Anolis sagrei: one gene and its partner. The protein of the gene in region 1 purifies or fractionates together with the protein of each later gene. This does not show direct contact. Links are inferred from orthologs where the notes say so. Each region holds a gene or a part of one and is shown in the gene's direction. Other genes may lie near its edges.

Region 1 (15,908 bases):
GGGGTTAATCACATAATCCTGACAACACATGGTGTGTAGCTCTGCTTTTGTTTGTTTGAAAGTGAGGCTGTTATTGAGAGCCAAACTAGGCCTACAAGTGACATCCTGTTCCAATTCCCAAATCTCTATATTTCCCTGTTAGGTTCTGTATATTATCTGTTTTGTATTAGCATATATATATATGACATCTCCTTTTCTATGGTTTAGGTCTCTACAAACTATTAGCTGGATTTGAAGACAAGTCTGCGTATGCTCTCTGCACCTTTGCTTTCAGCACTGGAAATCCAAAGGACAAAGTGAAGCTATTCAAAGGCCAGACTCATGTGCGTACATGTTTTAATACAGCTAAATTGTAAATGGTAAAGCAAAGAAGGCCCATAGTGGGCAAATAAAATTATTAGTTTGACACAGGAGATCACAAAACAAATAGTATGGCGGACAACTAGTTCAGTGAGTTGCATTGCTGGTGCTGTTCCCAGTTTTCAGCCAAACTGTAAAATATGATCTTTTAAAATGTCTTTCACTTATGGAATCTCAGTATTTTTTTTCAATAATGCACTGCAATAGACTACTACCAGTATCTTCTTGGGCAGATGTAGGCAATTCCTTAAAGCCACCTTCCAAGTTTATGGCAGATATGAAAATAATACTTGTAGCTCCTCTTAAGCACTATGCTACATTCAGCTACCCTGTTCATTCGTGGGAGAATCTCTGCCAGCTTGGGAAAGAAGAGTTTTGACATATTTGTTTGACAGACTGTTGAGGGGCTATAGTTTGAAAAAAAAAACCCAATGAATTCCTATGCACTCTGCACATATCTTATTTGTAGTGCAACAAAATCATGAGAGAATATTTAAAATGAAGAACATTTTTAACTAACATAGACTTACCAGTACTACAGTGGGAAGTGTTGGTCTGCTTTTGGCTGATGTGATAGTCAAGTTAGTTAGGATTGTTGTTGTGTGCCTTCCAGTTGTTTCAGACTTAGAGCAAATGACTGCATCTGCCCTGTGGGACTTAGTGGTGGTGGTGATAGTGGTGGTGGTGGTGGGACCTGTTACAGAGGAACCAAAATGATAACCCTGCCATATAAAGGGTAAGAATTTGAGCACAGCAGATCCAGACATATATCAAGGCTGCTGCTTCGTGGTCTGTGAATCACACAATGGATTAATCTGCACCTGCACTGAGCTCCTTTGGAACATTCTAGAATTTAAAGATATGTTTTTGACAGTAACTGCACCCATAAATAGTTGCTTGCTCTCAAAATCCCCAGTGCATTTTGTCCCCCACTACAGTAGCTCCATTGGGAACCTTATACTTGCTTTTGCTTTGTTTTGCTATATTCCACTTTTTCTTGGGGTTTTTTTTGGGGGGGAGCTTTCTCCTATGGTTATTTAATTTGGTTTTTGTTTCTTACGGTTTTTGGCTTCACCTGATCTGTCTGTTTCTATTGCCACTGTTTCCTGCCATGTCTTCCACTACATTGTTAAAGAAATGTGTGGATTGTGAAGGCAAAATGCCTGATATTGATACAGTAAGTGCCTCCTGTGTCTAGGCGAAATGTATGTGGTTCAGTCATGTTCTCATTGCCAGGTTTTCATGACGCTGGCAAGAAAGAACAGAGAGGCCCAGCTAAACACGGTTATCTACTGAAGAGGATTGTTGTTCTAGGCTTCTCTGTACCATGACATTTGGTTCATAATCTGCTCTTCTTATATTTCAAGTGTCCTTATGTATCCACTTTCTTCTTGAGCACACTCTGGTTTGAATTTTGTAGGTGACTTTGAAGGATGCTGATATATGAAAAACTATCCTGTTTTCTCTGCTTATCTGCACCTCATAAATTTTCAGCAATCAAATATAGTTATTTTTGACTTGGTGCCAGGTACCACATGTTAACACAGAACATACAACATTCCTTACCATATGTATCAATTTACAGGGACATATAGTTGATCCAAGAGGACCTAGAGACTTTGGATGGGATCCATGCTTCCAGCCAGAGGGTTATGACAAGACGTAAGTGACTGTTTGCCTACTCACTGCTTTCAACAGACAGAATTGGCTAGTAAGAATATCCTGGCTAGTTTGTGTGCTATAGATTTAAATAAGATGCTAACGGGGTTATGTTAAGTGTGCATATGTATATTGATAGCAGTGAAGTTTTCATGTAGATATATTCCATAGCACTGTAACACTTGTGGAGAACTCACTGTTTAGGCCAGAACTTTCCAAATGGTGTGTTGCATTTGTGTGTCAGCTGCAATGTTTAGATGTGTCATTTATTATTTATTCTATTTACAGTATTTCTATACCACTTTTCTCACCCCTAGGGGGACTCAAAGCGGTTTACACATAACTGGCAAAACTTCAATGCCATACATTGGACACTGACGCGATGCCAATCCATAACAACCACAATAATAAAACCACAATTAAACATAAATAATAATTAGACAGTACATAAGCAATCATTAAAACAATAAATAATAAAAACAGTCTCACCAGTTGTATTGTCATTCTAGTCCATGTCCTTTAAACTCTACAAACATCTACTGTCCGAAGGCCTGGTCTCAAAGCCATGATTTTAATTTCTTTCTGAAAGCCAGGAGGGAGGGAGCAGATCTTACCTCATTTGGGAGTGTGTTCCATAGGGCTCACACCTGGTGTGAGGAACGGCAGGGACCCAGGGCTGTGGTGCATTGATCTGCTGAGCCCTTCAGGCTGTGAGACATCCCTCCCTCGTTCCTGGGTATTTCCATTTGCGTCTTCCCATTCAATTCAACTCAACTCAGCATTTCTTCTCGCCATCTCTCCCAGTCCTACCCTTTCCCTCCAACAGCTGTGGTTTTGCCCACCACGTGTGCTGCCTTTCCTTCAAGGGATACACAACACAGAGTTTTCACAATGGGATAGATTCAGCAAAAGCAGTGCTTCACTCTATAGTATGGATTGCGTGCTTACCCTCCCTCCCTACCTACCCCGCTGTCGGGTTTGCTGAGGAGGGATGACCAAGTCCGGCAAGCTGGAAGTGAGCATCATCGTCTGGCAAAATTTGAACCCACTCCTTGTGGTTCTCCTTTTCACCACTGGGCCTTTTGCCACCCAAGAAACTTGTACAGAGGGGGCTTGCAGCAGGCATATTGGAGGGGGGGGGGGGGTGAATTTCAAGCAAGTGCCAAGTTTGAGGAAGAACACACCTTTCTGGTTTACAAGTAAAACTGAAATAATGTGTCACAAAATGACACTTGTCTAAAAAGTGTGACACCAACATTGAACATTTGGAAGGCTATTGTGGTTTGCAGCTTTAAACACATCATAATTCTGCTATAGAATTACCGGACTGCCCCAGTTTCTGATAAATGTGTTCTCTTCTTATCCTTCCCAGGTATGCTGAATTACCTAAGTCTGTGAAAAACACTATCTCTCATCGTTACAAAGCACTGAAAGAGTTGTCTACATATTTTGCTGAACAGAACAATTCAACAGAGGCCACATCTGGCTTCAGTTAGTCTGCTATAGTCTAGGATGCTGTGTTGTACAAAAATTGGGATTGGAAAATGATATCATGATTTGCTTGTTTGCATAGATCATATACAATAAAACTACTTTTCTTAAAGATCTCTTGGCATATCCTCACAGTTCCTGAAGGAAAGTTCTCCAAACAAATAAAGATTTCAAAGGGTTTCAAGATACATTAGTACTGTTAGCCCGACTTATCCACAGATTCTGTATACATAGATCCAGTCATCCATGGCTTCAAAATATTCCCTCTCCTCAAAACAAATTCCTGGTGTTTGTCATGACTCTTGTCAGCATAGCAGGCATTATGTTGGCCATTTCTTCCTGGATGTTGGTCTCCAAATCTTGTAGGGTTCTTGGACGGTTCACATAAACAGGGCATTTCAAAATATCCCATAGAAAAAAATCACAAGGGGCCAAATCTGGAGAGTGGGCCGGCCACTCCAAATCTGCTCGAAAAATTGGCCTCAACAGCAAAAGCACAATCATCACTGTTCCAATGCATTATGGCGACTGAACTGTCAGGACAAAACTTTATACTCCTGCCTCTCAAACGAGACCACTAGCGCTCCGCTACGTCTTCAACCGACTGAATGGCGCGCATTTTAAAAAAGGAAGTTATGTTGCCTCACCCTGTATTTCAAAATGGAGGCGCTCTTTTCAACTGGGAGTGAATTCCTGACCTGAGAATAGCAGAGGAGCATACATGTAATAAGACAAATTTCATTGCGCCGGGGGGGGGGGGGGGGGGAGAAACGAAAGGTGAGGAAGATGAATTACAAGCTCTTGTCTCTTATGATTCTAAAATAAACACAAAAGTTTGCATTTTGAGCCCAAAGGGTGTGGAATGGCTGTTGAGGATTCCTGTTGATCCCCAAGTGAGTTTAACCTGGGTTAACCCAGAACAGCCCTGTGTGGCATTTATCCACCATGGGGTTGATTGCACCTCAAACTGACCTAAGTCGTTAGTGTAGATATGCCCAAAGAAGTATCAAAGCCCAGTAAAGTAAAAGACAAAGATCCTCTAGTTGCCAGACCTCCTTTGTCCAATTTTAATCCTGCTTTTCATATGATTGCTACAATAGTAAGAACAAGAGTGATGATTTAGCAATGAGTGTTTTGTTAACGCTACTCAGCAGAAATTAATTAATTAATTAATTAGCTGTATTTATATTCCGCCCTTCTCACCACGCAGGGGGCTCAGAGCCGATTACAATGTATGCATATATGGCAAACATTCAATGCCAAAGACACACAACAGATATAGACAGACAGTCAGAGGCTATTTAACTTTTTCTGGCCGCCAGGGGAACTGTCGCTTTCATCTTCCATCTGCGACACTGATGAAGTACTTCCATATTCCCCGCATGCTTGCTGGAGTCTTTTTATGGCCTCATAAATTAGTTAAATTAGCCTCCCCACACAAAGGTGGTACCTAATTTTCCTACTTGACAGATGCAACTGTCTTTTGGGTTGCAAAGGTCGACAACAAGGTACATAATTGGTTGGAAACTCACTCCGACCCAGGCTGGCTTCGAACTTATGACCTTTTGGTCAGAAGTGATCTTAATGCAGCTGACACTCAGCCAGCTGCGCCACAGTCCCGGAACTGAGAGTTCCATGGAAAGTTACCAATTCCTTTAAAAATAATGTTACAATCTCTGATTATAGTTACTTTCTCTATGGCTAATGTCATGTGACCCAAGTTTATTGCTGCTGTCATAAAACAGCTCTGTATGTTGATGGCATTTTAATCTTCCTTAAAAATCCTGAAATGTCCCCTTCTCAATTTTGAAACAGGCCATGAATCACATAGACATATATTCAGGCATCCAAAGTAATTACTGTACCTGAATGTTCCACCTCCATAATAAAAATGCTGGCAATTCCTCACTAACGTACCATTTCATCCCATTTGGAGTTTCCAAGTCATGGCATAACAATTATTATTCTTATTATGAAAGGCAGATCTGAATGGACTCCATGTTCAATTTTATATTGCCACTACCTTTAATCCTACGTCTTGTCTTTCAATTGTTAGATGTGTAATGTAATTTTTGTAATGTCATTATTCAAATTTTATAGCAATGTCTTTATTATTACAGCATTGCATCTTTGCTGTTATTTGTTGGAAACCCCCCCCCCCCCGAGTCTGAGATAGGGCGGGTGTAAACAAAAGTAGGGCAAACACTTCTGTCGCGAGGCAGGATGGATCTTGTTTTTCTTATCTCACCTCTGCCTCCAATTATAAACTTATAATAATAATATGAGGAGCCCAAGATAGAGATGATGCGTGTTGCTGAGACTTTGTTTATATATATATATATATATATATATATATATATATATATATATATAAATAAATAAAAAGTGGGGTTTATATGAGAGAGATGACTTCTAGGACACCTGTTTGTGTCACTTTAATATGTGTATCCCAGTGCCATAAAACTGTCTTCGGTTCCACAAGATCTCATCTTCTCTTTCCTGGAGAAACTTCTCTTTAATAAGTAGTCACAAACACTCAGTATTTTGAACTGATCAGAAACAACATTTATTTAAAGGTTTCTCAGGTTCACATAAGCTTGACGGTTTTTTAAAAAACTGTTTTTTAACTGTTGGTTCTTCGGAGAACATGAAACTGTTACTATTAAATTTTTAACAATGGCTTATCTTCTCTCTCCTTAATGTTTGTTATTTCTTTTCTTTGAAACTTAGTTTCTTTTCTCAGTCCCACTTTTATTGCTTCAGGCTTGACACTGAAGTCATAAATAAAACTACCTGGAATCCCTTTCTTCTAGCAACCCAGCTAGATTATACTACAGACTTAAATATTTCTACCCTTACTTACTCAACACTGAAGATTAAACACTTGGCTCACTACCTGTAGCCACCTATTCCTTCTGACTACCTGTCAGAGACTTAAACTACTTGGTCTAGCTCCACACAACTACAACCAACCATCCTTTGGTTCATCTGGGCACCAACTGACTCTTTTCAAGTTGTGTTCTTTCAAACAGTGGCAGTTAGCTCCGCCGCTTTCTCTTCTGCCTTGAGGACTATGTCGCTATGGCAATGCCTTAGCTCAGGCTACCCATCAGCTGCACCTATATCATAATATCAATAAACATATGTAAAACCTCCATTTTTAATTAGACATTTCATTACAGCGGGATATAAATAAAGTCGAAGGCTTTCATGGCCAGAATCACTGGATTGTTGTAGGTTTTTTCGGGCTATATGGCCATGTTCTAGAGGCATTCTCTCCTGATATTTCGCCTGCATCTATGGCAAGCATCTTCAGAGATAGTGAAGTCTGTTGGAAGTAGGAAAATAGGTTTATATATCTGAGGAATGACCAGGGTGGGACAAAGAACTCTTGTCTGTTGGAGCTTGGTGTGAATGTTTCAACTGACTACCTTGATTAGAATTTGATGGCCTGGCAGTATTAAAAAAACTCTAAAATTACAACAGCAAAACAACAGAGAGGAAACAATCAGGCACACCTAATCACCTCTCAACAAAAGATTACCCCAGGCACTAACAAGCCACACCAAACAACTGCCAGACCATCAAAAGTGAAGCTACCTATCCGACCGCATCTCTGCCTATGAACCCACCAGGACTTTGAGATCTTCCGGGGAGGCCCTGCTCTCGATCCCGCCTGCTTCTCAATCACGGCTGGCGGGGACGAGAGATAGGGCCTTCTCGGTAGTGGCTCCTCGGCTATGGAACGCCCTTCCTACGGACATTAGACTAGCACCATCTCTAATGGTATTCCGCAAAAAAGTGAAGACCTGGCTGTTTGAGCAGGCGTTCGAATAATTAGTGCAATGATTGGTTAATGAACACTGGAATGGAACAATGGATGACGAATCTGGAACATGTTTTTGATTATGAGACGACAGTGAATGGGTATTGTAGTAACTGTTTATTAATTGTGTAATGTGTTAGATTGTTAACTGTTTTTATACTGTAGCACTGAATTTTTGCTGTTCGTATTTGTTGTGAACCGCTGTGAGTCGCCTTTGGGCTGAGAACAGCGGTATATAAGTAAGGTAGGTAAATAAATAAATAAATATAAACCCCTTTTTCCCAGCTCCAGCAGACCTCACCTCTGAGGATGCCTGCCATAGATGCAGGCGAAATGTTAGGAGAAATGCCTCTAGAACATGGCCATATAGCCCGAAAAAATCCACAAGAATTGAGAAATAAATAAATGCTAATCAAGGTGGTGAGTTGAAACATTCACACCTAGCTCCAACTAACAAGAGTCCTTTGTCCCACCTTGGTCACTCCACAGATATATAAACCCTTTTTCCTAGGTCCAACAGACCTCACTACCTCTGAGGATGCTTGCCATAGATGCAGGCGAAACGTCAGGAGAGAATGCCTCTAGACCATGGCCATATAGCCCGAAATAACCTACAACAACCCAAAGTTTACTATTGTTATGATACGTCCTGTGCATAAACTAAAAATATAAGGTGATAATATCCAGCCTTTATCTGAATGAACATCCTGTTGATTGGAGCCTATTCTGTTTTGCCATACTATGCCCTGATAGTGGCTACTTTGTTCAGAGCCTGATTTACACATCAAAGTAATCAAATGTTGTGGTACTCCCATTTGTTTTAGAACAGCCCAAAGGTTTGCATGGTTTCCCTCGTTTTCTCCAGCTCAATGTGATGAAGTCCTTACTTTGCTTCAGGGCGAAAAGCCTTCGCAGGACGATACTCCCAGGCGGAGAGTCAGAGGTGGAGCGAGAGGGCCCACCGTGGCCTGCTTTGGGGCGACTCCAAGCGCTTGCCCCAGGCTTCTCCGGCACGAGGCCTCGCAGAGAGGCCGCGGGGTCACAGAAACGCCCTTTAAAGCTCCCAACGCTTTCCCGCCTTTCTTGGGAAAGGAAAGACTCCGTCGCGCGCGCCCCCCTCCAGGCAAAGCGCGAGGAACCGGAAGTCGCGCGAGCAGGGCTTCTAGGGACGCTTTCGGCAACTGAGAGAGCCGCTGACGTCACCCCGTCTCCTCAGTCATTTCCGTGCCGGTCCGGAACAGGAAGTCAGTGAAGAAGAGCGGGGTTTTCTGGGAAGAAGCCTATGCGCTCCTGAGAGGCCTGGCTCCGTCGTATGTGTGAGGGGATGGAAGTCGTCGGATAAGGTGAGGAACAAGGGTGAGGGAGAGGGAGGCAGAAGGCCGGGGTGGCCAACGAGGGAGAGCTCCCCCCGAAGGCGGGCCTGTGGGAAGGGGGCGTCGGGTGAGAGGAAGCCCTCCCACACAGACATACTGCAAGCGACTGTGGGACCCTTGGCCAATGGAGGGCTGGCCCTTTGGAAGGGCGAGGGAGGCTCAGGGCGGTTTCCAAAGGCAGCCATAGGAACAAAAGAGACAAACAAGCAGTTAAAACGCACAGTTACAAATAAAAAACAATAAACCATGTAATCGAGCGACCCCGTAAATAACACCACAGGCTGATGATGATGATAATAATAATAATAATAATAAAACTTTATTTGTATCATCTCCCCAAGGGACTTGGTGCGGCCAAGCCCACGATACATCAATAAACAAAACATCAATAAAACAATCAAAACAATTCATATTTTTTATTTGTCGTGTCAGGGCAACCAGTCAATTATTATTTATTTATTTATTTATTTATTTATTTGCTTCACTTTTATACCGCATATTTCAGCCCTTGACGGGCGACTCAATGCGGTTTACAGTGCACTTAAAAACACAGCAATACAACAACCGGGACGACAATGTTGCTCCACAACAATTAACATCAGACAGACAAATCTACAAACAACATATATAGCGCCTCCGTTAAAGTCAGATCCATTCTCATAGTCATTGTGCCGTTCCTATGTTCAGTTACCGTCTTCCTTAGTTAGTTGCATTGCCTAGCCAAACGCTTGTTCGTAAAGCCAGGTCTTGACCATTCTCCGAAACGCCAGCAACGAAGGTGCCTGTCTGATGTCTGTTGGTAAGGCATTCCATAGCCGAGGGGCCACCACTGAGAAGGCCCTGTCTCTCGTCCCCGCCAAGCGCGCCTGTGACGCAGGCGGGATCGAGAGCAGGGCCTCCCCAGACGATCTCAATGTTCTAGTCGGTTCGTAGGCGGAAATGCGTTCGGAGAGGTAAGCGGGGCCAGAACCGTTTAGGGCTTTATAGGCCAAGGCCAGCACCTTGAATTGAGCCCGGTAGCGGATTGGCAGCCAGTGGAGCTGGCTCAGCAGAGGAGTGGTGTGCTCCCTGAGTGCCGCTCCTGTTAGCAACCTGGCTGCCGAGCGCTGGACCATCTGAAGCTTCCGGGCCGTTTTCAAGGGCAACCCCACGTAGAGCGCGTTGCAGTAATCAATCCGGGATGTGACCAGAGCGTGGACCACCATGGCCAAGTCCGACTTCCCAAGGTACGGGCGCAGCTGGCGCACAAGTTTGAGTTGTGCAAATGCTCCCCTGGACCCGAGACCTGGGGTTCCAAGCTTAGCGAGGAGTCCAGGATCACACCCAAGCTGCGAACCTGCGTCTTCAGGGGGAGTGTAACCCCGTCCAACACAGGCTGTAACCCTATACCCTGTTCGGCCTTCCGACTGACCAGGAGTGCCTCTGTCTTATCTGGATTCAATTTCAATTTGTTCACCCTCATCCAGTCCGATACAGCGGCCAAGCAACGGTTCAGGACCTGAACAGCCTCCTTAGTAGTAGGTGGGAAGGAGTGACAGAGTTGGACGTCATCTGCGTACAGATAACACCGCACTCCGAAACTCCGGATGATCTCTCCCAACGGCTTCATGTAGATGTTAAATAACATGGGGGACAATATTGAGCCCTGCGGAACCCCACAAGTCAATGGTTGTGGGGTAGAGCAATTGTCCCCCAGCAACACCTTCTGAGTACGATCCTCTAGGAAGGACCTGAGCCACTGCAGAGCAGTGCCACCAAGGCCCATTCCCGCAAGGCGTCTCAGAAGGATACCGTGGTCGACGGTATCGAAGGCCGCTGAGAGGTCCAGCAGAACTAACAGGGACACACTCCCCCTGTCTAGCTCCCTGCGCAGATCATCCACCAAGGCGACCAAGGCTGTCTCGGTACCATGTCCCGGCCTGAAACCAGACTGTGCCGGATCTAGATAATCAGTGTCTACCAAGAATGCCTGGAGTTTACATTTACATTACATTTCTAACAGTACAAAGCAAAGAAACAGTCAAAATACAAAATTTGTGAGTTTGGTAGTTGGTTAAATGTCCTTTGACCAGTATCTGGCCACTGGGAGTGCTTCTGGTGTTGCCGCAAGAAGGTCCTCCATTGTGCATGTGGCAGGGCTCAGGTTGCATTGCAGCAGGTGGTCAGTAGTTTGCTCCTCTCCGCACTCGCATGTCAAGGATTCCACTTTGTAGCCCCATTTCTGAAGGTTGGCTCTGCATCTCGTGGTGCCAGAGCGCAGTCCGTTCAGCGCCTTCCAAGTCGCCCAGTCCTCATTTGGTATCAGCCATTGGTTGAGGTTCTGGGTTTGAGCCTGCCACTTTTGGACTCTCGCTTGCTGAGGTGCTCCAGCGAGTGTCTCTGTAGATCTTAGAAAACTATTTCTAGATTTAAGTCGTTGACATGCTGGCTGATACTCAAACAGGGGATGAGCTGGAGATGTCTCTGCCTTGGTCCTTTCACTATTGGCTGCTACTTCCCGGCGGATGTCAGGTGGTGCAATACCAGCTAGGCAGTGTAATTTCTCCAGTGGTGTAGGGCGCAGACACCCTGTGATAATGCAGCATGTCTCATTAAGAGCCACATCTACTGTTTTAGTGTGGTGAGATGTGTTCCACATTGGGCATGCGTACTCAGCAGCAGAGTAGCACAGTGCAAGGGCCAATGGACAGACCAAATGTAATAAATTAAAATTAAAAAATAATACTGATGTGAACAAGGTAGGATATAACTGGGATAGGATTTTCAGAGAGAAATGAGGGAACACGTCAGTCCTAAATCAGTGGTAAAGTGCATTTTGAGGGCATATTACTGAGAGTTTTCCTTATTCTGGGAAGGCACATCTGTATACAATAACTTGGCTATCCAGTATGTTAAGGAAATATGATCATCATCGTCAGACAAGATACAAACAAAAAAGAGCTAATAATCTTCCTCTCCAAAGGCTAATGTGCAAATGTATGTTTTAAAGTGATTATTGAAGGAGAGGAGTGAAGAGGTTCTGATTTCCATAGGGATGGAGTTCCAGCGGGAGGAACGAGCACAAAGAAGGCCCTCTCATGTTCCCACCAACCACACTTGAGACAGGGTGGGACTGAGAGTAGGGCCCCCTCCAATGACCACAGTGTCCATGTTGGTTTATATGTAGGAATGCGATTAATTAACTAGCCTGGACCAGAACCATCTAAACTGTTTATCCCACAGCTGAGCAGTTCATTCTGTCAAGAGGTTCATCCCATTGTTTAGGTACAGGGTGAGGCAGCATAACTTCCTTTTTTCAAAACTTAATAAAACCAATTGTATGAATCAGAAAAAAATTATAATATAGGTGCATACCTAATGTTTTGTTTTATGTAGTTTGAATGTTTGCCATATATGTGTATACTGTAATCCGCCCTGAGTCCCCTGCAGGGTGAGAAGGGCGGAATATAAAAACTGTAAATAAATAATAAATAAATTTTGAAGATCAAATTAGGTAGGTGACATCCCCCATTCTCCATACACTGAGTAAACCGATTTCTGGCATTTGTCTTGACTCTTGCCAGCATAGCAGGCGTTATGTTGGCAATTTCTTCCTGGATGTTGGTCTTCAAATCTAGTAGGGTCCTTGGATGGTTCACATAAACACGGGATTTCAAAACACCCCATAGAAAAAAAAATCACAAGGGGCCAAATCTGGAGAGCGGGCCAGCCACTCCAGATCCACTTGAAAAGTAGGCCTCAACAACAAAAGCACGCTCCTCACTGTTCCAACGCATGATGGCGACTGAACTGTGTCAGGACAAAACTTTATACTCCCGTCTCTCGAACGAGATCACTAGTGCTCCGCTACGTGAATGGCTCGCATTTTAAAAAAAAGGAAGTTATACTGCCTCACCCTGTATGTAGGAATGTGATTAATTAACTAGCCTGGACCAGAACCATCTAAACTGCTTATCCCATTGTTTGTCTCCAAAGAGTACTATTATGCTGGTCTGTGAAATCTTTGCTATGAGAAATCATTTAAAATGTGAATGTCAGAGAAAACATGTAAAAATTCTTATGAGTAAAGTCTGTATGTTTTTGAATATCTGTTCTTGAGCAGCATCTGAGATAATTGAACATATGAGTTGGCTGATCTGATCCAAAAAACTGGACTTGCTGCCTTCAGTAGAGTTTTGAATTTTCTGGTAGTGTGGAAGAACAGGAGAAACTAGAGTAGTATTAAAATGACCTTTTCCACCTCCATGTCAGAATGGCCCTGATTAAAAAGGAATTACTATCCATTATCTTGCTTGTGAAAAAGAATCTTTAAGAAATCTTTTAAAAACTCCCTCTGCTTGTCATATACCCAGTAGTTATATTAGTAAGATATTTAAAAGTTTGCCCTTTGGTTAGAAGCTTTTTGCATACAAGTGGTAAGCTTAAAGATGTTGACAGGATTTAAAAAGAAAACATTAAATCATCTTTATCATATGTCTCGAAGAGAATAATCTCCTTAAAAGATATTATTTGTCTTGAACATTATTGATCCATTATACTTAAACACGAAAGATCATATTCTATTGATGCTGTTTTAAAAAGCATGTAAGATTCCATGCTTAGTTAATCACTTTATATAGGAAAACTGTGACCACATTGTAAGTTTTACAGTTTGGCTGAGAATTGAACCCTAACTAAATGAGTACTGTAATTTTGCTTTTCTCCTTCTTTTCCTAGGCAGTTTTCCATTTCTCGTTTTGGGCAGCTAAGAGCAACACTTGTATAAAAACATGCCTCCAAAATTCAAGCGGCACCTCAATGATGATGATGTTACTGGGTCAGTAAAAAGTGAGAGGGTGAGTACATAAGGGTAATAGGATTCTTTTTACATTCACATTTAAAATGTAGACATATCAGTGTCCAGGAATTACAGAACTAGCCCATTTGAAGGGCCTCCATAAATTATCAATCACACCCCAAGAATAAAGCAGAGCTTTCCAAACATTTCATGGTGATGTCACACTGGTTAGACACACATATTTTCATGACACAGTAATTATGTTTTACTTGCAAACTGGAGGTTAAACCAACCCCTTATAGGAGATGTAGACACAAAAATAAATTGTAATAATGAAATATATGGGGACACAACATATCTCACAAAAACCTTTCATTTCCATTTTTAAAATATCAGATTTGTAAGCTAATCACATACATTTCCAAGATTTTTGTCATTTTTCCTTACTTTCATGCAACACACCTACACATTGCAGCTGGCACACTTTACATGTTGCAGTACACAGTTTGGAAAGCTCTGCTCTAAAGAATGGTCCACAGTCATCCTGTCTTGTTGATTAGGTTATGGTCTACTTAGTCATGGTCTACTTAGTATCTGGAGCCCCAGGAGACTGTCTAGTATTGCTATTTAAATTGACATGTATTTCTTAAGGAAACAGCAGAAACTAATAAAATAATTTTACTATGTCTATTTGAATCATGAATTTCAGTAATCAAGGTAAACTGCTACAGTGGTTTATAGTCTGCATAAACAGAAAGAAACAGTTTGAGGGTATAGATCTGTTAGTGACATTATGCTCAGTTTCTTGAAAGTTTTAAGATGAAATATATGTCAGGGAACCATAGATTTATTTTTCTGTAAAAAGTGGGAGAAAGTAGACATTTATTTGTTGTTTGAGATCTACCAATTTTGTGTATTTTACAGAGAAACCTCCTTGAGGAAGATTCTGATGAAGAGGAGGACTTTTTTTTGTAAGTATAGGTTCTGGCATGCTTGGGGCGAGAAGTGTTTCATAATTTTATATTAGGGTGGGGAGGGCTGGAATGCCTGTTTTCCAAAATACCCATATTCCTTCCGCCATTTAATATATCACCCATCTCTGTCCAGCCTTGCATCTTGTTTATTTGCTTGTGTTGTCTCTGAGAAGGGGGCTGCTGTGAGGGATCATTGCAGGGAATGCCACATGATCAACATGGCAGAGGCTGCCTATAGGGTTGCAGTAGAGGGAGAGAAGAAGAAGAAGGGAGGAAGACAGAAAGGAAAGAGAGAGGAGGGTAAGAGTAAGAGAGAGGTTTGAAGAGAGAAAGAAAAACAGGCCAACATGATGTTTCTCACTTCCCAACATGAGAGAAAGAAGAAATGGGAATAAAAAGAGAGCTCCACCTCACCTCACTGGAACACTCACCACCACCACCCCTCTTGCCACCTGCCTTGCCTGTCCCTGCCAATAATAACGAGTAGGAAGGGAGTAGGGGAAAATGGGGGCATGACCTTTCACAAATACGTGCCTTCTTTCATTTTACAAATCAGTCTCTCATCTCATTGTAGAGAGAGAGAGATAGACTAAGGATCTGAGATATGAACAAGCAGAAGAGCTGCAGCTGTTGTCCCAAAGGCAAAAACATGGGGCTGGTAGCAAAAAGTTTTCACTTTTAGAGATTTGTGGATTTCTGGATACAGAGCCTCAATCTGAATCTCCCAGGGCTGGAGAAGGGTCAACCGAACAACCTGTTCATTGGAATGGCGATTAGATTTTCTGAACCTGGCATTGAATCCTGGGGATTATTTGGTGTTGTTACTGCCCAGTTAACATTATTTAATATCAGGATTTTGTCTCCATAATTATGTGGAGCACTGAATGATTCACTTGGAGCTCTTTCCAGCATCTATTGTGAACATTAAAGTTTAAAGATTCCACATTTTATTCTCCTTACTGTAGCCTCAAGAGAAATGTTTGTTATGCTGCCCTATATAAGGTACCAATGTGATGTCCTTTAATAGTCCCTCTCTTAATCAGGCACCAGGATTTCAAGAGCCTGCTTCTTACCTAGCTATGTGGCTTGCTGCTTGTCCATTAGCATAGATAAGTAGCTGTTGTCCACATGTTTGATCTTATCTGTCCAGTCATTTGTATCATCTCTTTCCAGGAGAGGGCCATCGGGCCCAAAGTTTGGGCCAAAGAATGAAAAGATCAGGCAGTAAGTATTTAATGACATTTGAAAAATTTGTTTTGTATTAACAGTGTATATAAAACTTCTAGCCTCAATTATTATTTCTGCCACAACTGGATTGAGTTTAGAATTTTGCAATTTCCATGGCTTGTTAACAACAAAATAAGTTGGGTAATGTAGACCCCCAAGAATTCATATTTAAAACTGTATGTTAATATTCAGCAAGTGTATTTTTCTGCTAAATACTCCCT
Region 2 (16,066 bases), on another chromosome or scaffold:
CTTTCATGAGGATGGAAGAGTTTACCCTCTGCTTCAGGATTTCACAATATAGTACTTCCTTTTTAAAAGCTGATGTCAGAATAGCCTTGGTTACTAGGGCTGGGCGGTTTCGTTTCGTTAATTCGTAATTCATTAATAATTCGTTATTTTTTTCAATTACAAAATGATAACGAACCATTCTGGAGCAATTTTTTTAAAAAACGAATTTTTAAACACGTTTTGTAAATGCTTCGTATTTCGTTATTGTATTCGTTTCGTTATTGTTCTGAGGTCGTTTCGTTATTATTTCCGCATGTCTGGGGCAAGTTTTTTGTTTAATTAGTGAAAAAAAATTATAATATCACACCAACAGTCAACAACAGAGGGAGAGGGAAGCTTCAGAAGTTTTTGGAGGTTTTTTAGCGTATTTCGCGGTCGCGTCCGCCATTAACGAATCGATTCGTTATTGTTTCGGAAATCGATTCGTTAATGTTTTGTAAATTTTTTCACATTTACGAAATTTTGTAAATACCGAACTTTTTTAAGGGAAAATTTTGTAATTATTTTAAATATCGAAACAAAAAACCCCCCCAAATACAAATCGATTTTAGAAACAAATTTTTCCGTTGTTACCCAGGCCTATTGGTTACACACACAAGTGACAAAAAATAGTATGTAACTTTGTAGGCATTACCCGTACTTCTTTTCTCACACTGTACTCAGTCTAAAGCAGGGTGAGCCAATTTTATGCACAGGATGTATCAACTGCCTCCAAATGACCAAATTAAATGGGTGTTTCTTTATGTTAAATGGTATAAAAGGACACTGTGATGCATTTAAAGCAGTGTTTCTCAAACTCTGCTCCTCCAGGTGTTTTGGATTTCAGCTCCCAGAAATCCCAGCCAGCTTACCAGCTGTTAGGAACTGTGAGAGCTGAAGTCCAATACATCTGGAGGAGCAGAGTTTGAGAAAGTCTGATATAAAGATTGAATTGCTATTGTTGGAGGGTTCTAGAAGAAGCAATACACACTTTCCTCAAAATGAGAGGGAGGATACATGCAGGACAGAAGCTATATTCTAACTACGTCTACTACGAACCAAAGACCATCACTTTTGCCTAATCGTTTAACATAACATAAGGAGACATAAGTTCACAGGTTCAAATCCAGGGAGCGGCGTGAGCTTCCGATGTCAGCTCCAGCTTCTGCCAAACCAGCAGTTCGAAAACATGCAAATGTGAGCAGATCAATGAGTACTGCTCAGGCGGGAAGGTAATGGCGCTCCATTCAGACATGCTAGCCACATGACCTTGGAGGTGTCTATCGACAACACCGGCTCTTTTATTAGGAATGGAGATGAGCCCCTACCCCCAGAGTCAGGCAAGACTGGACTTAAAGTGAGGGGAAAACATTTACCTTTACCTAAGGAGACATAACATTTAACATAACATAGGGCCCCTGGTGGCACAGAGGGTTAAACCACTGAGCTGCTGAACTTGCTGACCAAAAGGTCAGCGGTTCCAATCCAGGGAGTGGGGTGAGTTCCCACTGTTAGGCCCAGCTTCTGCCAACCTAACAGTTCAAAAACATGCAAATGTGATTAGATCAATAAGTACCACTTCTGTGGGAAGATAACAGTGCACCATGCAGTCATGCTGGCCACATGAGCTTGGAGGTGTCTATGGACAATGCCGGCTCTTCGGCTTAGAAATGGAGATGAGCACCACAACCCTGAGTTGGACACAACTAGATTTAATGTCAGGGGAAATATTTTCCTTTAAGGAGACCAATGCCTTATTCTCCCCTAAGGCCAATGCTAGTTTGCAGCACTGAGTTTTGTCATTCTCTTCCATTTGGCAATACAACAGCTACTAGTTTGGATGGAAGATATTGCAGTTTTGCTTATTGTTGTGTTCCTTCAAGTAATGCCATGGGATTCCTTGGGAAGATGTATTCAGAGGTTTGCCCATGCCTTCCTTTGTAGCTCAGAGAATGGGAATTGTCTGAAGTCACTTCAAACCAGGTCTCTCCAAAACTGTCATGACTGTACTGTGCTGGTTCTTAATTTTGATGTGCCAGCTTCATTTTAGAGAAGAGCTCAAAAACATGATGGGGAAAATTTGACGGTGTTAACCACACCCTACCTGCATGTCTAAAACTGTACACATAATGAAGAATCAACGCTTAAACTTGCAAGACAAGAAGAAATAACTTCTTTATGTGAGGACTACAAGCTCCCAACTTTCTACAAATAAAAAAGGCAATTATCTAGAATTATCTGGTTCTTTTTCTTCCTACATTACAGGGTGTGTGAACTCTATTGGACAATCAGAAGAGGAAAGAGCTGGGAAATCTTACTTTTGGGGTCCCAGATAAAAATGGGCAATGATTACATGATTATCCTAAAAATAACTGCCAAAATCTGGCAGGCATCTAACTTTGTGTTACATTTTATGCTCTGTTTTAGGCACCTTTTGCCATGTGTAAGCCACCCCGAGTACCTTTGGAGAGATGGTGGTGGGATACAAGAATAAACATATCATCATCATCATCATCATTAAAAGGACAGTTTAAGTACTAAGGAACAAATCACCAAGAAATTGTTAAAAAATAATATGATTAATATGAAGATACCATGGGAAATTCATGAGTTATCAACTAAGGAATGTATGACGCTTTCTTGTGAGTCCCATGCTTTCTAAGTGAGGCAAGCATAATAATAACTGCTATAGAACTCTAAATACAAGTGGTAAATGTATTTAAAGCATTAAATAAACTTAGATCATGATTTCGTGATAGTTAATGCTACCATTCTCCAATTTCACTGAAAATTATGTTCACGAGGCTTTTTGTATCTTTTTTGTTAGCAATTTGATGACACATTTGGTATTTTTCTGTAGTAAAGAGACGAAGGCAAAGAAGGTAGCCGACGTTGTCTGTAGACAACTCCTAGGTCATGTGGCTGGCATGTCTGCATGGAGTGCTGTTACCTTCCCGCTGAAGTGATACCCATTAGAGACAAAGATGAAGTATTTTGGCCACATAATAAGACAGGAAAGCTTAGAGAAGACAATTATGCTGGGGAAAAAGGAAGGAAAAAGGAAGAGGGGCCGACCAAGGGCAAGATGGATGGATGGTATCCTTGAAGTGACTGGCTTGACCTTGAAGGAGCTGGAGGTGGTGACGGCCAACAGGGAGCTCTGGCGTGGGCTGGACCACGAGGTCATGAAGAGTCGGAAGTGACTGAACGAATGAACAACAACAAAAGGTAAAGGACATTAAGTTCAGTTGTGTCCGACTCTGGGGATCGGAGCTCATCTCCATTTCTAAGGCGAAGATCCGCCATTGTCCGTAGACACCTCCTAGGTCATCTGGCCGGCATGACTGCAAGTAGTGCAATTACCTTCCCACCCACCGGAGCGGTACTTATTGATCTACTTACATTTGCATGTTTTCGAACTGCTAGGTTGACAGAAGCTGGGTGCTGACAACGGAAGCTCACGCCACTCCCTGGATTCCAACCTGTGACCCTTTGGTCAATATTCCTGCTTCTTGGCAGGGGGTTGGACTGGATGGCCCATGAGGTCTCTTCCAACTCTTTGATTCTATGATTCTAAGTTTCGCAGCTCAGCGGTTTAACCCACTGTGTCACCGGGGGCCCCCACCATTATACTACAATATTATTAGTAATTTTACATGTAATATATAATATACAATTATATTATTTTACTAGACGCCCCTTGCAATGTGTTGCTGTGGCCTAGTCTGTGTATATGTGTATATATATGTGTGTGTATATTTGTGTATATATGTGGGTTATGCGCGTGCATTGTAATGTATTTTTTAGCTTTTAAGTCTCTTCTGCTGTGTTTTTCAGTGTTTTATGAGTGATGGCCACTCGTTGGCCTGATAGGTGTATTGTGTCCAAATTTGGTGTCAATCTGTCTAGTGGTTTTTGAGTTATGTTAATCCCACAAACGTACATTACATTTTTATTTATATAGAGTTAATCCCACAAACGTACATTACATTTTTATTTATATAGATTCTACCATATTATTAGGGCCCCCGGTGGCTCAGTGGGTTAAAGCACTGAGCTGCTGAGCTTGTTGATCGAAAGGTCGCAGGTTCAATTCCGGGGAGCGGCATGAGCTTCCGCTGTCAGCCCTAGCTTCTGCCAACCTAGCAGTTCGAAAACATGCAAATGTGAGTAGATCAATAGGTACCGCTCCGGCGGGAAGGTAACGGTGCTCCATGCAGTCATGCCGGCCACATGACCTTGGAGGTGTCTACGGACAGCGCTGGCTCTTCGGCTTAGAAATTGAGATGAGCACCAACCCCCAGAGTCAGACATGACTGGACTTAATGTTAGGGGACTACCTTTACCTTTACCCTTACCATATTATTATACCACAATTACACTACCAGTATATTATACTATTAGTATTACATAAGATATTGTGCTATATCATAAGTTATATTAATGCACTCTGGTTTTATTAACATATGACATTCTCTCTCTCTCTCTCTGGAGATTTGATGACTCTTAAATGTGCAGAGCTGTGATGGAGAGCAATCCCCTGAAAAGAAGGAGAGGGAGAAGGAGGGATGGCCAAGGCAAAGCCAGAGGTGTGAGAAAGAAGCCTGGAGGCAATGGCCACCAGCCACTCCCTCCTCCTTCCTGCTTTTGGACCCAGGAGATGAAGCAGAGGCTCCCAAGCAGAGCCAGGGAGGTCCCGCACCCCTCTCACCCGCCTCGTGACCCCTTACCAGGACAGGGCCCGGGACTCCCGCCTCCTCTGCAGCCTCTGGCTCCGTTATGTTTCTGTTTGGCGCGCCCGCCCTCGCTCCTTTCGCCCACTTCCCCGCCTCCGGGCACCTTGTCTGGGAGCCCGGATGCGCAAAACCCTTCACTTCCGCCCCGACTTCGCCTCGCCCTCAACAGCCTGGCAAGTCCGCCCGCAAATGAGTCCCTCCTCTTACCTCTCAGCACGCAAAGCCATCAGAAGAATCAGTGCAGTTTGATCCCACTTTAGCTCAATGCTAGAGAATCGTGTATTTTGGTGAAGCACCAGCACATTTTGGCGGAAGAGGCTCAAAACATTGTGAAAATCCAATGATTCCATAGAATTCAGCCATGGCAGTTAAAGAGGTGCCAAAACTGCATTCATTCTACACTGTATGGTAAAGATAAAGGTTTTCCCCTGACATTAAGTCTAGTTGTGCCTGACTATTATTATTTATTATTTATTAACCATCGGGGCTGTCTCTTCTGACCACAAGGTCATGAGTTCGAAGCCAGCCCAAATCGGAGTGAGCTTCCGACCAGTTGTGTAGCTTGTTGTCGACCTTTGCAACCCGAAAGACAGTTGTATCTGCCAAGTAGGAAAAGTAGGTAGCACCTATGTGTGGGGAGGTTAATTTAACAAAATTTAGGTTAAAAAGGTTGTCCCCTGACATTAAGTCCAGTCATGTCTGACTCTGGGGTGTGGTGCTCATCTCCGTTTCCAAGCCGAAGAGCCAGCGTTGTCCATAGACACCTCCAAGGTCATGTGGCCAGCATGACCACATGGAGCGCTGTTACCTTCCCGCCGGAGCGGTACCTATTGATCTACACACATTTGCATGTTTTCGAACTGCTAGGTTGGCAGAAGCTAGGGCTGACAGCGGAAGCTCACGCCGCTCCCTGGAATCGAACCTGCGACCTTTTGGTCAACAAGCTCAGCAGCTCAGTGCTTTAACCCACTGCGCCACCGGGCCCCCAAAAATTTAACAAAATTTACGAGGCCATAAAAAAGACTCCAGCAAAAGCATGCGGGGAATGCGGAAGTACTTAATCAGCGTTGCAGATGGACGATGAAAGCAACAGCTCCCCTGGCGGCCAGAAAAAGTTAAATAGCCTCTGACTGTTTGTCTATATCTGTTGTGCATCTTTGGCATTGAATGTATGCCATATATGTGTACATTGTAATCTGCCCTGAGTCTCCTCCGGGGTGAGATGGGCGTAATATAAATACTGTAAACAAACAAATAAATAAATATTGATATACTGCCTTTCTCAGCCTGAAGGCGATTCAGGGAGGTTTACAAACAGTACAATTTGCTGCCCACAATAACAAAGAACAATTAAAACATTTAGCATAAATAACATTTGACAAAATATAATGAAACTGATAGAAGTCTAAATCCACAGCGTCTCATTACTCAATTCATTACCCAATCACATTGTCCAGTCGTTCCGAAGATCAGAGTTTGTCTGCTACACTGCATTTGGGAAAGCTTGCTCAAAAAGCCAGGTTTAAACTTTTTTTCGAAATGTTAGGAGGGTTGGGGCCGACCTGGCTTAATATTTTCTGAGGAAATGTGCTCATGGGCACTCTGAGAAGTCATGCAGTTTTTTAAAAGATCAATCTTTAGATCATTTTTAAGCCGAAGAGCCAGTGTTGTCTGTAGACACCTCCAAAGTCATGTGGCCAGCATGACTGCATGGAAAACTGTTACCTTCCTGCAGAAGCAGTACCTATTGATTTACTTACATTTGCATTACATTAGTCAGTTAAACTGCTGAGTCAGTAGCTCAGCAGTTTAAGCTGCTGCACCACGAGGAGGCCCCTACAGTGTAGATGCACCCTAATGTCTCTCTTACGTGTGGATTTCCTCCCCCCCCCCCCCGGATTTTGGAATATTTTGCCTCTACATAATGAGACATCTTGGAGGTGGGACCCAAGTCATAACATTTTTGTTCCTGTGTTATCAATGTCATTTCCTAATTGGGGCTATCATAAAAACATGGGATTTTTTTTAAAAAAATTAAGCTTTGCTTTTGTGCAACATCCTGCAGCATATTTTGCTATAGTTTTTCAATGAATAGAGTCTCAGCCAATTCAACATAGTTTGTGCAGCCACGCCAGAAGCGACTTGCAGTTTCTCGTCACTCCTGACATGACCAAAAAAAGCCATAAAAATGTAGTTTCTGGAGTAGAACAACTACTTTTAGAGTAAGCACTGCACAATTAAACAGGAAATAACATTTTCAAACCAGGAAAATATCCCCCCCCCCGAATTTTGTTACCTGGTGTAATTTATTCAGGTATGATGTACATCTTATGCACATAGTCTGATATGGACTATGTATATGCAGTCTTTGAAATGTTTTTGTGCATGAAACAAAGTCTAAAAGGCATGCCTCCAGATATTATAATAATAATAATAATAATAATAATAATAATAATAATAATAATAATAATAATAATCATCATCATCATCATCATCATCCATGATGGACTCTAGTTGCCCTCCATTCCCATTGGGACGAGCACCCGGAACCTTGGTTGCGAGATGAGGTTCCTCAGGGGACTGTTGTTGGTGACGCTCAACCCGGAAGTACAGCCCTGACAGGAGCAGCGGCGAAGTTGAGTTTGCGTTATCCGGGGGGGCGCGGGTCGTGAGCACCCCCAATTCCGAGGCGGGCTACCTGTGGGCTTCTGTTGCCTCCCTTCCGCCCATCTAGCCGCCGAGGCCTGTCCTTCCTTGGCCGCCATGTCCTCAGACTTCGAGGGCTACGAGCAGGACTTCTCGGTGCTCAGCGCTGAGATCACAAACCGCATCGGGAAGGTGCCCAAGTTGCTGGGAGGTGAGTCCTGGGGCCGAGGGGGGCTCCTTCCCGGCCCCTCTGCCTTTCCTCTCGCCCCTTGCTTTGGCAGGGCCTTTGACACCCCTTTAACAGTCATGGCTCAATGCTGTGGCCTCCTGGGAGTTGTAGTTTGGTGAGGCACCTCCATTCCTTGGCAGAGAAGGGCAAAGGCCTCGTAAAAGTATAGTTCTTTAGATTTCATAGCATTGAACCAAGGCTGTTAAGTGGTGCTAAACTTCATTAATGTTGCTCTCTCTCTCTCTCTCTCTGTGCGTGTGTATATATGTCAGGACTTCTTTGTGGTTAAGTACAGCTGTTAAGATTTCATATAATTGAATCAAGGCTGTTAATAATAATAATAATAGGAGCCCCCGGTGGCGCAGTGGGTTAAAGCACTGTGCCGGCAGGACTGAAGACCGACAGGGAGAGGCAGATGAGCTCCCTCTATTAGCTCCAGCTCCTCATGCGGGGACATGAGAGAAGCCTCCCACAAGGATGATAAAACATCAAAAATCATCCAACGTCCTTGCAGACGGCCAATTCTGTCACAACAGGAGCGGTTGCTCCTGACACGACAAAATAATAATAATAATAATAAACCTTTATTTGTACCCCGCTACCATCTCCCGAAGGACTCGGTGCGGCTTACAAGAGGCTGAGCCCAAATACATCAGTAAAACAACAATACATCAATAAACTCGTAAACAAGCAGTAAACATTAACAATAACACCACGACACATTAAAAGAACCTATGATAGGGCCAAGTGTAATAATTAAAATTGTTAAAAAATACTGGGCATGACCAGGTGACCAGGTGAAATAGGATAGGTATTTTGAAGATAGATGGGGCATGCAGACGATCCTAGATCTCTACTAAAGTGCATTTGGGACTAATTAATTAATTAATTAATTTTTTACGCTATATTTCTAGCCCGCCTTTCTCAAACCCGAAGGTGACTCAAGGCAACTTTACAATATAGGCAGCTTCAATGCCATTAAAACAGTGTAAAAATTACAATAAACATTTAAATAGCATTATAAAATACATACATAAAAACCTTAAAAATCATATAAAGCCACTACCTTCACAATTAGCCTCATTGTCCAAAATCATTGTCTAAGCTGTTCCAGTATAGGATTTTACATAATTCTGTATTTATCTATTTCACTAGGTTCTCAAAGGCTGGCTCAAAAAGTCATGTTTTCACTTTTCTACGGAAGGTCAGGAAGGAGGGGGCTGATCTAATATCCCTAGGGAGGGCATTCCACAACTGAGGGGCCACCACTGAGAAGGACCTGTCTCTCATCACCGCCAGTTGCACCTGTGAAGAAGGCAGGGCCTCCCTGTTAAGTGTTAAGTCAAGGCTGTTAAGTGGTGCTAAACTTTATTAATGCTGCTCACTGTGTGTGTATGTATGTCACGGCTTCTTTGTGGTTGAGTCCCAGTTTTGGAGTCTACTCATCCACTTTGAAGCAGAAGTACCTTGAAACAACACCATTTCCCCCCACTGGAATAAAGTTTTCATTTAATGTTGAATGCACCCACCTGAAAGCGGGGAAATTCATCCTGAGTGGGAAATCCCGCTGAACTCAGTTGGGTTTCTTCCCAAATAAGTGTGGAAAAGACTGCAGATCTTTCTTTCCACCGCTGCCAGAGCAGCACCTAAGGAATCTCTCTTGTATAACTAGCTTAGTGCTTGAAAACGGACTGCTTAACTACTTTTTTGCCTCAACCCAACCAACTTGGGCCTTGATTGTTGTGAAGAACTTTGGACTGTTATTGACGCCACCGCTCTCTATTGCACTTGAACCCAGACTGTTTGTTGACTATGCAGGCCAGTTATGTCTCCTAAAACATGTGCTTCTTGTGAAGGGGGGGGGGGCAGTTTCCAGGTTCAGATGGGCACAACATGTGCCTCCTTTACCTTGGGGAATCCCATGTGGTGGGATCTTGACCTGTTTGCCTCTCTTTCACTCTGAAGGTGTGGTGAGGGTGTGAGTACCGTGTGAATGATTTACTCTGTGAGCCAATCCTCCTCCCATCTCCCTCCCCAAGGAAATGTGTGGCTTCAGAGCCTCCTGAGCTGGGAAATACATTAAAGGGTGTGCATTAGGGTTATGGATGTTTGCCTTTGGCTTGTTCAGTTGGTTTGGAAGCCCATAGTGGCATGGACTCTGCCACCATTTTTTTACTGGTCACAACAAAACAGTGGCTGTTGAAAACTGACTTCTTTCGGTTACACATATAGTGCAGGGAGGTAGGCAGCCACTAGAAGGAAAAGGATTCAAACAAGTGAGGCTCCTTAAGCCCTTTCTTGATTTGTAAGCAGAAAGGAGATTGAAGTGTGAGGGGGGGGGGGGGAAGGCACGTTAGTTCTCCTTTCCACTCCAGCACCTTCAAATCAAGAGAGAAGAGAGGGCTTTTTAAAGGAAGCCCAGGGTAGGATGCCTCCAGGTCAATCCCTTTTCCTTCCCTGGGAAATGGGAAGCCTACTGAAAATGCCTTGGAAAACTACCTACTGCAGAGAGTGCGAGAGCATGAACCTGCAGTCCATGTCTCCTCTAGAGAAAAAACAGCCTTAACAAAGCATTAATCCTGTCTCCTCTGCAGACAGAAGGGCAAGGATTATAGAAAGAATGGTATTTTAATTTTGATGCTTTAAATCCAGGTCTTAATGAAGAATATAAGGACAAACACAATGCTTAAAATGACAGGAAGGGGAGCCTGTGAGAAGTCCCCCCCCCCCCATTGCGACCAATGGACCGGATAGGAAATGAATATTTCAGCTTCCCAAATTGAAAACGGATATCTGTCCTCCCAAATTCGGGAGGCTCCCAAAAAACTGATTGGGACCTCCATTGCAATTCAGGACACAGAAATGGATCATGGTTTACCCGGAGTTCACAAACCTGGTTTGCATACAGTAATAGATGAAGTATGATAGCACTTTGACTCCCATGGCTCCATGCTATGGAAGTGTGTGATTTGTAGTCTGGTAAGGCACCATCACTCTTTAGCAGAGAAGGCTGCCATGGAAAACTACAGCTTTCATGAGTCCACAGCGTGAAGCCATGGCAGTGAAAGTAGGGTCAAATGGATTATCTCTATAGTGTAGATTCACCCTAAGTAGTACACAGGGAGTCTCCAAGCTACAAACATCCGATTTACAAGTGACTGCTTCATTGTTAAGAATGGTAGTGAGACAACAGGAAGCAAGGAAGCCAGAGAAATCTATCTCCAGGAAGGGAAATTCACTCCTGAAAGAGTGGTCACGAGGAAAAGATGTCTCCACTGGAGATTTATCACCAAACCTTGTTTCCACAACCAGCCAAAATGTTCAAAATCAAAGTCTCACACAGACAAGAAGTGAGGTAAAATCTTCTAAACAGGATCAGAGACAGCAGAACAAACACCACAGGGGCATTAACTCTTCCTCATGCTATCCAAAGAGTATGTGTGTATGTGTATCTGGAGTTATACTTAAAATGTACCTGTTCTGACTTAGATGCAAATTCAACTTAAGAACAAACCTACAGAACCTATCCTGTTTGTGACCTGTATTTAATTTACACACTTACAAAGAGATGAATAGGATTGCTAGCCTCCACCTTCTGAAAAGTTCATAGGGACTTAGAATAACTTGTCTTCATCCCTTCTGGCTTTGTTTCCTGGTGTACTTGTGTGTCTTATCACCTCCTTTTTTTCTATCCAAATTTAAAGGCCCCTTTTGCACTACTGTAAAACTGAGTTCCAAAAATATGAATACTGGTATAAAACTTCCCCCACCCTACACTGCACATGTACCCACAAGAGCCATTCCTTTAACATGTTCTTCAAGCAATGCAATATACAGACTAAATTATAAATTGCTGGTGAAACCCTTAATTTTCCCTGAAGTTATGTGAAATATTTATAGTAGAAGTTGATTTTCACCAGATTTTCACTTGTTCTTTTTTATTATTCTTAGATGAGAAGAGGCAAATGGTTTCAAATGTGGAGAAGCAGCTGGAAGAAGCAAGAGAGCTGGTAAGCTGTGGTCTCTCAGTTGCTGTTGGACAACACAGATGGAAATGGTGACATGCTACTACATATAATCAACTGGGAGAATGTTTTAATGGCTCATTGTCTACTGAATTTTATCTGTATGCTGTCTTTTGGCTAACATGGAACCCAAGACAATGTACAAAACAACTGACACAAGATAAAGGCTAGAAATCAGTATTAAAAAGTTTCAACACAATTAAGCAGGTGATCAGATTGGAACACCATTAAAATTTTTAAAGTGTACAATAATTTTAAATGAACAATACTATTAATAATGCTGAATACCCCTCCCATAAAAGAGACTTCTTCCAATCAATTAACACAACCTAGTTCCTGTTTGAATAAAAGGTCAGTTGTCTACCTTTGAAATGAACAGAAAGGAATTCCAGAAAAATGCAGTAACAATCACTGAGAAAGCTATATCCCATGTTTTTACCAAATGAATATGTGATGGTTGCAGGACTGGAAAAAATATCCTTCTCTGTGGAAAGACTCTGGCAAATTTATATAGGGCAATAAAATCTATTTCAACAAGTGTTACATGTTCACTGTTACTAGCTTCACCTATTTGCTGTATCTTGGACCTGTTATAGCAGATGTAATTAAGGCATATGACACCATAGCCAAGTTTGACTTCTCTAAGAAGTGCTGCTGATGTCCCGACTTTTATTAAGATTATTGGAAGGAAACTCTTGAAAGTCAGGAAGTGTCCACAGAAGAGAGAGACAATAGAAACTGACTGGAGAAGATATTAAGAAAAGACAGTAGGAATAGATGGCTAAAGACTGATATAAGAGATTTTTTTCCTGCATTCCACAGTACATGCTTTCCCAAACCTACATGTTTATCACAGCAACTCCCATATTTTCTGTCACAGTAACTAAGGCTATTGGGAGTTGAATTAGTGCTATTATTATTTATCCTATTCTCCAGGAACTCAAAGTGTCTTACAAAAGTTAGAAGGTGGACAGTGACAAATATATGAATAAGTATATAAAGAAATACAAATTAAAATTGCATACAGTTGAGAATATAATTAAACAATCAATAGTTTTAAAATCATTTGAAAGTATGACTATGAAAAAAGCAAGCAGTATAATAGTATACTTATTTGTCACATGTCTCTATGAATACGTGTAGCTAAATGTCTTCCCGGCCACCAATGTCACTTGATTCCAGACCCAAGGTTGAATTTAGGAGTAAACCCAAGCTGTGAATCTGGGTTTTCAAAGGAAATATAATCTTCCTTGTTTTAGTGAATAATTGGCCATTCCCTCTACCCACTTTGCCAGTCTCTCCTAGCATCTTTTAGTAAGCTAGGAAGGGCAGGAGTCAATATAATGTGGCAAGTTGGTCGTAGTGGTCTGGGGTCTCCTCTAACATGCTAGCATGTAAAAGAAGCCTGATCTCTGACCTGACTAAAACAACCTAAGAGTTCTAGGTTGAGAAAGCTTCTCTGGTATTGCACCTGGATAGGGGTAGTTTCTCCCTGTGGGCCACTTTGGTATGTTGGCAGCATGTCAGCAGTTTTCTGAGGTGTTGTGGGGAAAGAATGCAAACCACATGAGTGGGAGTGATTGGGAAGCTGTTGTGATGGTTTTGGGGCAAGAAATGGCCTAGCAATTCCCAGTGGCCATCTAATTTGTTTGTGGGCTGTGGGGTTTTGGGGGAGTTCTGCTATGTATGAGTTGTTGTGCATCTTTAAATAGTTTCCAAATTGTGGAGACCCCAAGGCAATGCTATTATAGAGTTTCCTCAGGCTGAGTGACTTGCTCAAGTTCATCTGTGGGTTTCCATGGCCAAGTGGGGAATTGAGCCATGGTCTCCAGAGTCAGCTTTCATCACTTGTTGCCCCTAAAAATGGGGAAATTGTTTTCATCCTTGGCACACTGCCCACAGGCCCATTTCTATGTTTGTCGCTCCATTTCCTTGTTTCTCTGTTCTATGGGTCTTTTTGTTCTTCTATGTCTTAAAAATGTGCTCTTTGTCACTTTGTCATAGAAAGCATTCTAAGCTTTATGCTCATTTCTCCAATGCATAATATATCCCTGCATTCCACCCCTACTTTTGACGGTCATTGTAGGCCCAGATTCACTATTGTAGCAAGAGATTGCAGGCAATGAAAATTAAAGGTAGGCAGATGAGCATGTGTTGGATCCCAGATGGCCTGTGTTTGTTTGTCACATTGTACAGACTGAGCTTGGATAACTGATTGCGTCTTCTGAAGTTAGGGAAAAATCTTTGCTCCTCAACCCCACATTTTAAAACCACAATATGAGGATTTGCCAGCTTGGTGCTATGTGGGTTGAGACACTCTGAGAAACTTGGCCATACCTGATATTACCCTGTATAGCCTGAGAATGTTATATATATAAAATAAACACATTTGGGGTCAAAAAGAGTAATAAAAACCATCTGAGGAAGATCCTTTATTACAGTGACTTGTGCAGCATATGGCTGATCTGCAGGGTCATGTTCATTGATTAAAGTTGGTATGGGTCTAGATGACTTAACTTATGCAGACATACTTAATACAAAGTCTTGCACAGTACTAAACAGTGCATGATTGTCACAGTGGGGAGTCACAATATAACTTCTATCCTCAAAAACATAATTGTTTTAGGAATATTTCTTGGTTACTGGCATTTTACTACCTTTTTCCCTTTCACAGTTTTGCCTGAATCCTATTAGTTAAGTTGAACACTAGATCCATTTAATCAACTTTTTAACAATGAGTCTGCCTATAGGTAAATCCCATTTGTCCATGGTTTCTACTTTAGTTGGTAATAACAAAAGGATTTAGGCATACTTTTTGTTTTGTCTGTTTTTTTCTCTACTATAGTTGAATACCAGCTGTTACTTCTCAAGTCCAGGGCAGCTAACAAAAGATTAGCACTAAATAATAAAATAAAGTTCCATAAGACAACATAATAAATGACAGCTCAAGAGCAGTACACTTCATTTAAAAGTTAGATTTAACACACCTAACTTTTAAAATATGATAACTCGAGTAAAAGGTGAATAAATTCTGAAATTAGAGACATTTTCTCAAGAGAAATATTCAGATACTGGTATAAAGTTGTTTAGAATCCTTCCCCTTTCTAAATTTGTTAACTTGCATGATACAGTAATCTGTTGAGGGTTTCATGTACGGCGTGGATCTGTGTTAATATATGGAAGACATTGGGAAATAACTATTGACTTGCTCGTCAAAGCTAGTGAATATCAATTGATCCTTTGGGATTTCTGTCAATGTTGAATTACTATTCAGCTATTGATTTGGTGGGTCTATTGTAGCTGGTAAAAACAATTGAAATTTGATGATTCTAAGACAATGGCTGATTTCCTCTCAATGAATTATGACGCCATCACAGCTTATGTTTTCTGGTAATTGCAGAGGTCAGAATTCTGTTCCTACCATGCAATAATCAAAACTCTTCTCCAAAACACATCTCGCAAGCCTTGCAACCCCCTCCCCCTCACATTTCTATGTTTTTGGAGCGTGGGTGGATGAGCAAGAATATAACCAGCTGTTTTCCTCTGGCTGGACATGCTATAAGGATGTTACCTGAAGGGATGACCTGAGCAGTCTTGGAGCTCTCTGCAAATACCTTTCACTATACGTCCATCTACAGCAAAAAGAGTGAACACATCCCTACTGACCCTCCAACAACATGGAAATGGCAGTAGGACAGTGTTCTGCTTCTTAATTCACGAGACATGACTATGGAGATGTAGCTATGTGTTTAGTGTACTACATGTTTAATTATTACATAGTTTTATAATTATGGGCGATGTTTTTTGAGTTATATTTAACATGTTTATTGCCATTTACTCTTCTCTATGTATCATGATTTCTTCCTTTGATTTGTTGTTCTGATTTAATCTCTGGATTTGTTTGTGTGATTACTATTTATATTGTTCTTCCTTGTTGTAAGCTTCCCTGAGTCCCCTCGGGGAGAGGGAGCAGGATATCAATAAAGCATCATCATCATCATCATCATCATCATCATCATCAATTAGCTACACGATAGACAAATATCCCCTGAAACAGAATCTAGGCCATTATTTTATATGCTATGATTCTTTTAATCACTATGTGATTTATATTTATGATTTAGAATTATGGCAATATGATTGCAAATCAATATAGACCATTATGTTGTAAATTTATAAAGTACCCTTCCATGCAAAATGTTTCGAGGGTGGCATATAATATAACACACACACACTAGTAGAAGAGGAGAATGAAAAGGAAACAATATATAAAAAGAAACAGACCATGAAAGTATATAACTATGAAACAATCAAAACCAGGTGAAAAAGGTATTTTCCTAGCAGCTGAAAGAAAGCTAGGGCGGGGATTGCTACTGTAAGCCTCTTTGAGGAGGAATTCTCTAAGCATTTAG

What was found.
Region 2: the proteins of VAMP4 (region 1) and VTI1A purify together in Homo sapiens (affinity purification with mass spectrometry; 4 studies listed by BioGRID and IntAct, counting the BioPlex papers as one, with this or other methods). This does not show direct contact. The link is inferred for Anolis sagrei from reciprocal best matches to the Homo sapiens genes VAMP4 and VTI1A.

Annotation. Positions count from the first base shown.
Region 1 is NC_090024.1:130,541,587-130,557,494, forward strand, and holds the start of VAMP4 (vesicle-associated membrane protein 4), read left to right. Parts: upstream 1-8,555; 5' UTR 8,556-8,679; intron 8,680-13,425; 5' UTR 13,426-13,478; coding exon 13,479-13,544; intron 13,545-14,410; coding exon 14,411-14,457; intron 14,458-15,633; coding exon 15,634-15,684; intron 15,685-15,908. Other genes in the region: ITPA (inosine triphosphate pyrophosphatase), read left to right, coding at 208-323, 1,946-2,022, 3,392-3,515. UniProt on the Homo sapiens protein: Involved in the pathway that functions to remove an inhibitor (probably synaptotagmin-4) of calcium-triggered exocytosis during the maturation of secretory granules.
Region 2 is NC_090023.1:208,319,615-208,335,680, reverse strand, and holds the start of VTI1A (vesicle transport through interaction with t-SNAREs homolog 1A), read left to right. Parts: upstream 1-7,344; 5' UTR 7,345-7,517; coding exon 7,518-7,611; intron 7,612-11,580; coding exon 11,581-11,639; intron 11,640-16,066. UniProt on the Homo sapiens protein: V-SNARE that mediates vesicle transport pathways through interactions with t-SNAREs on the target membrane. These interactions are proposed to mediate aspects of the specificity of vesicle trafficking and to promote fusion of the lipid bilayers.